Nothobranchius furzeri: one gene and its partner. The protein of the gene in region 1 interacts with the protein of each later gene in a pairwise test. Links are inferred from orthologs where the notes say so. Each region holds a gene or a part of one and is shown on either strand. Other genes may lie near its edges. The genes, in order: asl and mcmbp.

What was found.
Region 2: the proteins of asl (region 1) and mcmbp interact in binary tests that used the Homo sapiens proteins (3 or more experiments, as listed by UniProt). The two-hybrid records come from large-scale screens. The link is inferred for Nothobranchius furzeri from reciprocal best matches to the Homo sapiens genes ASL and MCMBP.

The regions. Positions count from the first base shown.
Region 1 is NC_091750.1:61,109,808-61,113,911, reverse strand, and holds the end of asl (argininosuccinate lyase), read left to right. Parts: intron 1-2,065; coding exon 2,066-2,150; intron 2,151-2,340; coding exon 2,341-2,400; intron 2,401-2,501; coding exon 2,502-2,585; intron 2,586-2,810; coding exon 2,811-2,891; intron 2,892-3,016; coding exon 3,017-3,123; intron 3,124-3,257; coding exon 3,258-3,402; 3' UTR 3,403-3,555; downstream 3,556-4,104.
Region 2 is NC_091752.1:5,506,573-5,510,617, forward strand, and holds the end of mcmbp (mini-chromosome maintenance complex-binding protein), read left to right. Parts: intron 1-205; coding exon 206-323; intron 324-396; coding exon 397-562; intron 563-642; coding exon 643-776; intron 777-1,220; coding exon 1,221-1,388; intron 1,389-1,465; coding exon 1,466-1,554; intron 1,555-3,073; coding exon 3,074-3,200; 3' UTR 3,201-3,437; downstream 3,438-4,045. UniProt on the Homo sapiens protein: Associated component of the MCM complex that acts as a regulator of DNA replication.

The DNA of each region.
Region 1 (4,104 bases):
TCTAGCTTTTTTCCGGTTGGTGTAAACAGCAGCGTTTGCTGGCGCAGACTTTACAACCTTGGGGGCTCGCATATGATTGGCTCTGGAATCAGGAAGTCTGGTGGCGGGACAGATTGTAACTAAACACTACGGCCCAATCCTATTACTCACACTTCCACACTTACGCTGTTCAATTGCGTGATCCCGACCAGGGGTATGAGTGCGTCGGTTGTCCCGATGCTCAAGTGCGGAAGTTGATCACGCCCCCTTGCACGCTTGATCTGCATTTCATGTGCATCAATGCTGACTTTAGCGAACGGTATTACCCACAATCCATTGCTGAATGAGAAAAGGCTCAAATGCCTTTTTCTGAAAAAATATATTTTCTAATGAAAGTAGTTCATTTTAAGACAGTTAGTTGATGCTCTGAAACTTTTAGACAAAGCAGCAATTAACATATATTTATTTCAAATATATATATATTTGTCTACAGTTGTTAATAAAGGTTTATTTTCCAATGTATCAGAGTGACCAGCATCCCAGCATGTGTTGCGGTTGATTAAGCAATGCTCCCTATCTCAATTTGGCAATTATTTGCACACGTGTGTACCACGCACTCAAAGCCTTACTGCACACTTTCTCCACGTGCACTTTGCTGAAGACCGCAGGGTGCAGTGCTAATATTGGGATTGGGCCTAGATCCCTCTTTGGCCTTTTTAAAGTTTCCTGCTCCTCTGCCTTACTGGTTGAAAGTGGAATAACAACTGTCGTAAAACAACCCTGCTGTAGCTAGTGCTAACAATGAGCTAACACTAACATGAACCAACTATGCTAAAATTAACCACAAAGTAAAAGGATCCACACTGTTGGACATAAAATATTAATACTTACAAGTCCAGCAGTAAAAAAAGTCAGGTCACCATCAGTCCGAGATTTCTGTAGGGCACCTACCCGCTCCACAAAACTATCAAGTGCAGTTTTTGGCCAGCAGAGGGCAGCAGAGTGGTGTCAAAAATGAAACTGAGCAAGTTTCTAACTGATCACTGTTAAGCCGGGCGTACACTGTGCGACTTTTTCACTTTTTTGAGCCGATTTTCCAGTCGTGCGAGAAGCCACGATATCGGGGCGAGTTTTGCGCCGAGCGGTCGTGTAGTGTACAGGGGGTTACGAGAGGCGATTAACACCACGTGACCAGCCGCCGATCAGCAGTCGTGAGGTCGCAGGGACTTCTGGTGCGTTTAATATTTCGCTCGTCCCTCGTGAGGGTATCGCACTGTTGAAGCGGCGCTGCGAGCAGCTGCGAGCAGCTACGATCCAAAAAAGTATCAGAACCGCTCACGGCGCATGCGCGCGCAATCCTGCATCAACGCCGGTCGCTCGCTATTTCCCTAATAACACACGCTGTTCGTTTTTGTTTCTACACGTTTTTTTTACTCACAAAGATTGTCAAGAAAGCGTGTTTGTCGTGTTCATGTCAAATTAAACTGATCACAAAACACAGATTCACTTTCTTTATTTCGTTTTCCTCATCTAACCCCCATAAATCCCTGTGTGTCCTCCAGCAGCACTCCCGAAGGACAACAGGCAAGACAAAAAAGTCTGACGTGTTGAGTAAAAACTGCTATTTTTAGCACATTTTTAGGGCCGACGTGTTGCTACCAGACGTACAGTGTGAGCAGTCAGGTCGCATGCGAGAACTGGGTCGTACAGTGTGAGCACACGACTCGTGAGATCTGCTCTGCGAGGAAGTCGTACAGTTTGAGCTGAAGCTGAGTGCTACGAGTGAAAAAGCCGCACAGTGTACGCCCGGCTTAAAAGCTAAACTGTTACTACTTTAAAAGGAGAAAAACTGGCAGTCGCCCAGCTGGCTGAGAAGGAAATCTGTTTCAAAGTCGCCTTCATTCCAACAGGTTATTATTTCACAATAAACATCTTTTCAGTTTGATGAGCAAAGCAACACAGTCAGAAATAAAAATAGCTCATTTCATAAGTTATGTATTAAATGTAATGCTGAGGTGTGTGTTGCTCTGTGTGCTTCATAAAGCTCTTCCTCCTGTGTGACGCTGCTAGTCTCATCTGTTTGTAGCACAGGCAGCAGTTTGATGCCTCAGAAGAAGAACGCTGACAGCCTGGAGCTGATCAGGAGTAAAGCAGGTCGTGTCTTTGGCAAAGTAAGATTTAGGACTAGTTTTTGTTGTATTTCTGCTTAACATATGTTTATTAAAGGGCTAATTTAACGTTTTTACCTCGACGGTAGCTCATAATTATAGCAGCAAAATGTTACAAACATTTTTTCTTCATACCTACCATCACAACAATAATATTAATGATAATTTCACATTTAATTATTTTATATTTTAGTGTTCGGGGTTCATGATGACACTCAAAGGCCTGCCCAGCACTTATAACAAGGACCTGCAGGTTTGATAGGACGCCTCCACTGTGTGTTATCTCACATCATGAAAAAAGAAATCTAATATTCCTGACTTTCTGTTCTATTTCTCCTCTCCGTTCCTGTTCAGGAGGATAAGGAGGCCATGTTTGACTGTTTCGATACTGTCCAGGCTGTGCTGCAGGTGACAACTGGAGTCATGTCCACTCTTAAGGTCAGAGACCTAAATCACTGATAGTTTTATGCGTGGATTTGTATATCCTGTTTGTTTAGTTTGATGATCAAAATGAAAACCAGAAGTATGAGATTGTTAGGATTACTGGAATAAAATCTTGTGTCAAAGTAAAAACGCTGAAGTATTTTGACAAAAATAGTCTGTATTTCTGTTTTTTAAGGGAACATTAGAATCAGTAGCTCAGTTTCATTCCTGGTGTTTTAGATCAACCAGAGCGTGATGGAAGCTGCCCTGAGTCCCGACATGTTGGCCACTGATCTGGCCTACTACCTTGTGAGGAAGGGGGTGAGTTAGAGGCGCTGGCTATCCATGTGTAGCAGACGCCGAAATAAAGAAATAGATCCAGAGGTGTAACAGGAAGTGTGGGACTGAAGCAAATATGTGAAATCATCGCTGCTTTCTAATTGCAGGTTCCCTTTAGAGAGGCTCATGGAGTCTCTGGTAAAGCTGTGTTTGCAGCTGAATCTCAACACATCAGCCTGAATCAGCTCACTGTGGAGGACCTGACTGCTGTTAGGTGGAACTCTCATGTTTCCGTCAGCTGTTGTAGCATCTAATTTTACTTTTGATATTCAAAAGTTTCTCCCTGATCTCAGGATTTTGAATCGCCTCTAATTTTTTTTTTTCCTTTTTGTGTTTTTTTGGCTCTAGCCCTCTGTTTGGAGGCGACGTTTCCTCAGTGTGGGACTACAGGAGCAGCGTGGAGCAGTACAGAGCCCCCGGAGGTACAGCCAAGAGTAGCGTCGCTGCGCAGGTGGAACACCTGAGGATCTGGCTGACAAAGCAAACACAGTGACTTTAATCCCAGCTACTGCTGTCAGGTTTAGGTCAAAGTAAACTGTTACATCCAGACACGGCTTTGATTTTCAAAAATGTGTGCCGTCTCGCTTAACCGTCCTGTCTGATCAGTGTTCAGCAGGTGACAAAATAAAGTTGCTGTTACACTTTACTGCTGAGTTTGAATGATTTGCACCATGAAACCAATGTTCCTTCTTTTATAATCCACAGATTGTCTCTCCACATAATCCATAATCAAACCATTTTAACTACGTAAACAAACATCATGCCATTTAGAGGAACAAAAGAGCATTTCTTCGGTGAGAAAGGACTAAACATGCAATCAGGTCCTATTTAGGAGAATTAAAGTTGCAAATAAAAAAGCTGCAATTCATAGAATAATGTCTTTTAATGTAAAATGTGTCTTTTTCATTCTACAAAGAAACAGGCTTCTGGTGTTTGCTCTTATTCTGTTACTCTAATACTTCACATGTTATCTCTCATTCATACATGGACATAGTTTTGACTTTAGAAGGGGGGGACAACCGGCATGAGGAGCGGGGGGGATCTTTACAGTAAGTATGCAAAAATACAGCATAGAGGCTCTTTTATAGCCTGGCAAGCCAGACTAAATAAATGTATTATTTAGTCTGGCCACGCTCCATTGACGGCTCTCGGTTGTGGGGCGGGTTCTACCGTTGTCTTTCAAATGATCTCCGCA
Region 2 (4,045 bases), on another chromosome or scaffold:
CCAGAGTGTGAATGGGTGTGTTGTAAAGTGACTTGGGGGGCTGTAGAACCCTAAGAAGGTGCTATTCAAATACAGACCATGTACCAAAACAAAGCCAGGATCCAAAAATGTCTCTTATTTTTCCCACGCCCCCTCCAGAGCTCAGTAAGTTCCCGTTTTGTGGCTTTGGGGATGCTTTCGCCTGAGTTTGATTCCTCCCTCCCAGATATGCCAGAAGGGATGTTCTCCCCCTGGGAAAGTTCACCTTGAACCTGAGCGGCTGTCCGACCGCGCCCCCGTACGCCGAGCGCCTTTACCAGATCATCCAGCAGCTTGTGCCTTCGGTGAGTCCAGACCCAGAGGTTTCCGTTTCCGTGCGTTCGTCTGCTAATGGGCCTTAAATGATTTTACCTGCAGTCCCATTACCTGGGCATGAGCCTCCAGAACATGAACCAGCTGCGGCTGGTGCCTAAGAAGGACTACATCGCAAACCGCCTGACGAGCGGAACCCTGCAGCTGTCCCAAAACACCTCCCTCTTCCTGGATGAAACCCAGCTAGAGCAGGGACAGTTGGACACAACAGGTGGGACCTCTGCTAGCCACAAGGGGGCAGCACTGATCATCCTAATGATCTGGTAAGCAATCTTCTCTCCTGTGTTGTAGGTGTGCGTAATGTCACGGCCATGGGGAACCTGATCTCGTGGCAGAAGGTTGATTATGACTTCAACTACCATCAGATGGAGTTCCCCTGCAATATTAACGTGCTCGTCGCATCCGAGGGTCGCTCACTGCTGCCGGTAAGAGCCAATCAGGTGCTGCTGCAGACTGTAAACTCTCTCCTGTCTATTTAAGACGCGCACCCCGGTTGGGTTTCCACTAGTTTCTCATGAGACGCAGCCGCGTCAGAAGCTGGAGGTTGTGCTAACAGCTGCCACTGGCCAGCTGCAGACCCCCCTCCGTGCCGCAGCCTTAGCCGGGGTGACGCGCTGCTGCCGGCAGCACGAGGAATGCGCCATGTGCTATTCCTGGATGCTGCTCTAATGAGTTGCCGTGTTGGCAGCTGCGTGCTACAGGAACAATCCAGGGAGTGGCGTCACATGGGGCGATATGCTCACCCCGAGCGCTGTAAACAAACCTGTACATGGCAGCGTTTACGTCAGACTGTTTATGCTGAACCGTGGGCTCAGGCTCGAGGCTTTCTCTGGCTCCTGGGTGAAGTCCTGACGCTTCTATTCCTACAGTCCGACTGTCACATACATCTGCAACCGCAAGTGTCTTCGTCCCACGTAGAGGAGTACATCAGGAGCGTCCACGTCCACCCGCAGGTGTCCTCGCAGCTGAACAAGTTCAGAGTTTATCTGGGCGTGGCACGTCTGCTCGACTACAGCATCTCAGACGACGTGACCAAGGTGAGGCTGGACGTGTGCCAGGACACGGTTAAAGAGCCTTTTGGTTGTTTTTACATCTCTGCTTTCTGCCCGTCAAGTCAGTGGAGGAGGACTTTGTGGAGATGAGGAAGGACGACCCCCAGGGCGTTTCTGCAGAAGATCTCCACAGGCTGCTTGTAGTGGCCAGGTGAGCTCAGACTAGGTTCTCCTCCAAAGTAGAACTGAGTTTTATTAGCTTACAAGGCTGTTGAAGACTAGGTTCTTCTAGGAACCATTTATTTTTTAACTAATTATTTCTGATTTTAACAGTTCACTCTGAGGTTTTTCATGCAGGCTGAACATGATGATAGTCTCCTACACCTATCTCCTGCATTAAGGTTGGTTTATGCTTGACGCGTCCGCGAGGGCCGCACGGAAAAGTTGCGTCATTTTAACAACCACGCCCCTCCACCGCACCTCCGCACGGCCCAGAATTTCCGCAACGCACACCTCGGAAAATTTCTAACCACGCGGACGGACGGACGCGGGAAAACATGGCGGACCGGCAAGATCTAGTATGGCAGAGGTTCGTAAATACAGACATTTGTATGATTCAGCTCTCAGAGATCACCGTGATCAACATGTTGTTAATAATTCTTGGAGAGAAATAGCTCGCACTGTCGGAAAAGACGAGAACGCTGTTAAAAATGCTGAAATGCCATGTTGTAAACAGTAATTTCTACTTCTACTATGGTGTAGTGTTGGATGCATGCCATAGAGCTCCATGCTGCCCCCTACAGTTTGGGAGAATATTGGCTCACCGCAGAGACAAGCCGCACGAACCATAAACGCTGCGAGTTGTGAAGCGCGTTCCATCCGCGAGCCGCATCACCGCGTGGAAAGTAAATGCGTCAAGCATAAACCAAGCTTTAGCTTCTGATAGAAAACAGACGGTGAAACTCTAGGATTAGAAAATCCTGACAGATCTAAGTCACACTGTCACTAACATTCATCGACTCGCCCATGTTGGCTCACGACGGGGAAGGCTGTTGTTGGTTTAGCGTCCAGGAAACAGCAAAGAACGTCTCAGCTAGTAGAAGCTAACTGTTAGCATTAGCAACTCCACCACACAGCAGAACTTCTCCAGGCTTGTGTTATTTGTGGAGATGAAACATCAACGTTGCAGAGCAGTCAGTGGTAGAGTCGTGTTGTTGTTAGCCAATCAGAGCTGTCCAAATATCAGGAATCCAAATCCTGTCGTCTGTAACTTTTTTTTTCTCTGGCAGCCTTCTGTGAGTTTTTGTCCCCGGAGTACGACTTAAAAGGCATTTATTCCACTGCAAAAATATAAAAAAATGAGTAAAGTTGACCAAAATGTACATTTATGTTCCTGAATAACATCTGCACAACAAATGCTCTAAAATCTGTTTTTATTTGCCATATCTGGCCGCTGCTGGTGACACTTACTCCATAAGTTCCACATAAATAAGCATTTATTGTAGAAACCTGAGCGTGAACCGTTATGACAGATCAGTAACTGGTGTTGTGTTCAGCCTAGCCGTTAGCTCATCGGTGCGGTCATAAAAGCCGTTTGTCCAGACTGCGGCTCCTCGTGAAGGTTAACTGAGCGCCGAACGATGCCTTCTGACCGTCGGCATCTAGATTTCCTGTTCAAGATGAGTGAAAAGCTGAAACCCGACTGAGTGTGTGTGCGTCTCCGTCCGCAGGTTGCTGTCCCTGAGCCTGGGACACACGTCCCTGTCCAGAGACAGCTGGCTGAGAGCCAAACACATCGAGACACTGCGAAGGAGCCGAATAGAGCAACACAAGAGCGTGAACGGCAACGAGCCGTGAGCTCACGCGCGGGACAGCTCAACGGTTTTCCTTTTGTTAGAACAGTTTAATAAAGTTTTTTCACCTTTTTGTAAACTAAAGATTTATATATTCCAACTAGAATTAAAGGTATGACTCAATAACAGCCGACTGTTTATAATGTGTAACTGCAGAGCCAACTTCCTGTTTACATTCAGCACGGTGCATTTAACAGTTTGTCTCACGAGTAAATAGATTTAATAAAACTTGTGCAGCTCATGTGTCATCTTTTCATTCCAGACCAAAAAGTGTAAAATGTTCTTTTTATTAACACCCAAAGATAATAAATAGGATCCTTTAATATACAACACATCTGAGTACACGGTGGAGAACAATGTCATCGGTCAGGTTGGTACAGAAGAGGAGACGTGACATCGGGGAAATGTGCTTCAGCAGCGCCAACAGAAAAAACCTGATATTTGTGTCTCGGGTCGAAACGAAAGGACACAAAAAATGCACTTGGTGTGAAAACAAAAGGAGACAAAACAGCCAGCAAATGTGTCAAAGTAAAAAAGCTGACAGCATCAGGAGGAATGCTTTTTAGCACAAGATAAAACGAACCGCTCCAGTGTTGAACCTGATTAAAATTCCCGTAAGCGTTAAAACTGCGCTACAGCTGCAGCTTTGGCAGCACCACGTACTAAAAGCAGCACCTGCAAAGCAGCCAAGACTGAAGTCTCGTGTCACACGAACCAGACAAACAAATCCACGCGTTACCTGCTGGTGAGCCAACGGGAGTGAGGACTACAAAGATGGGACCCCTTTCATCTTGGGACACTTAGCCACAAAGCTAATCCTCATCATTTGTGTTGATCAACAACAAGAAG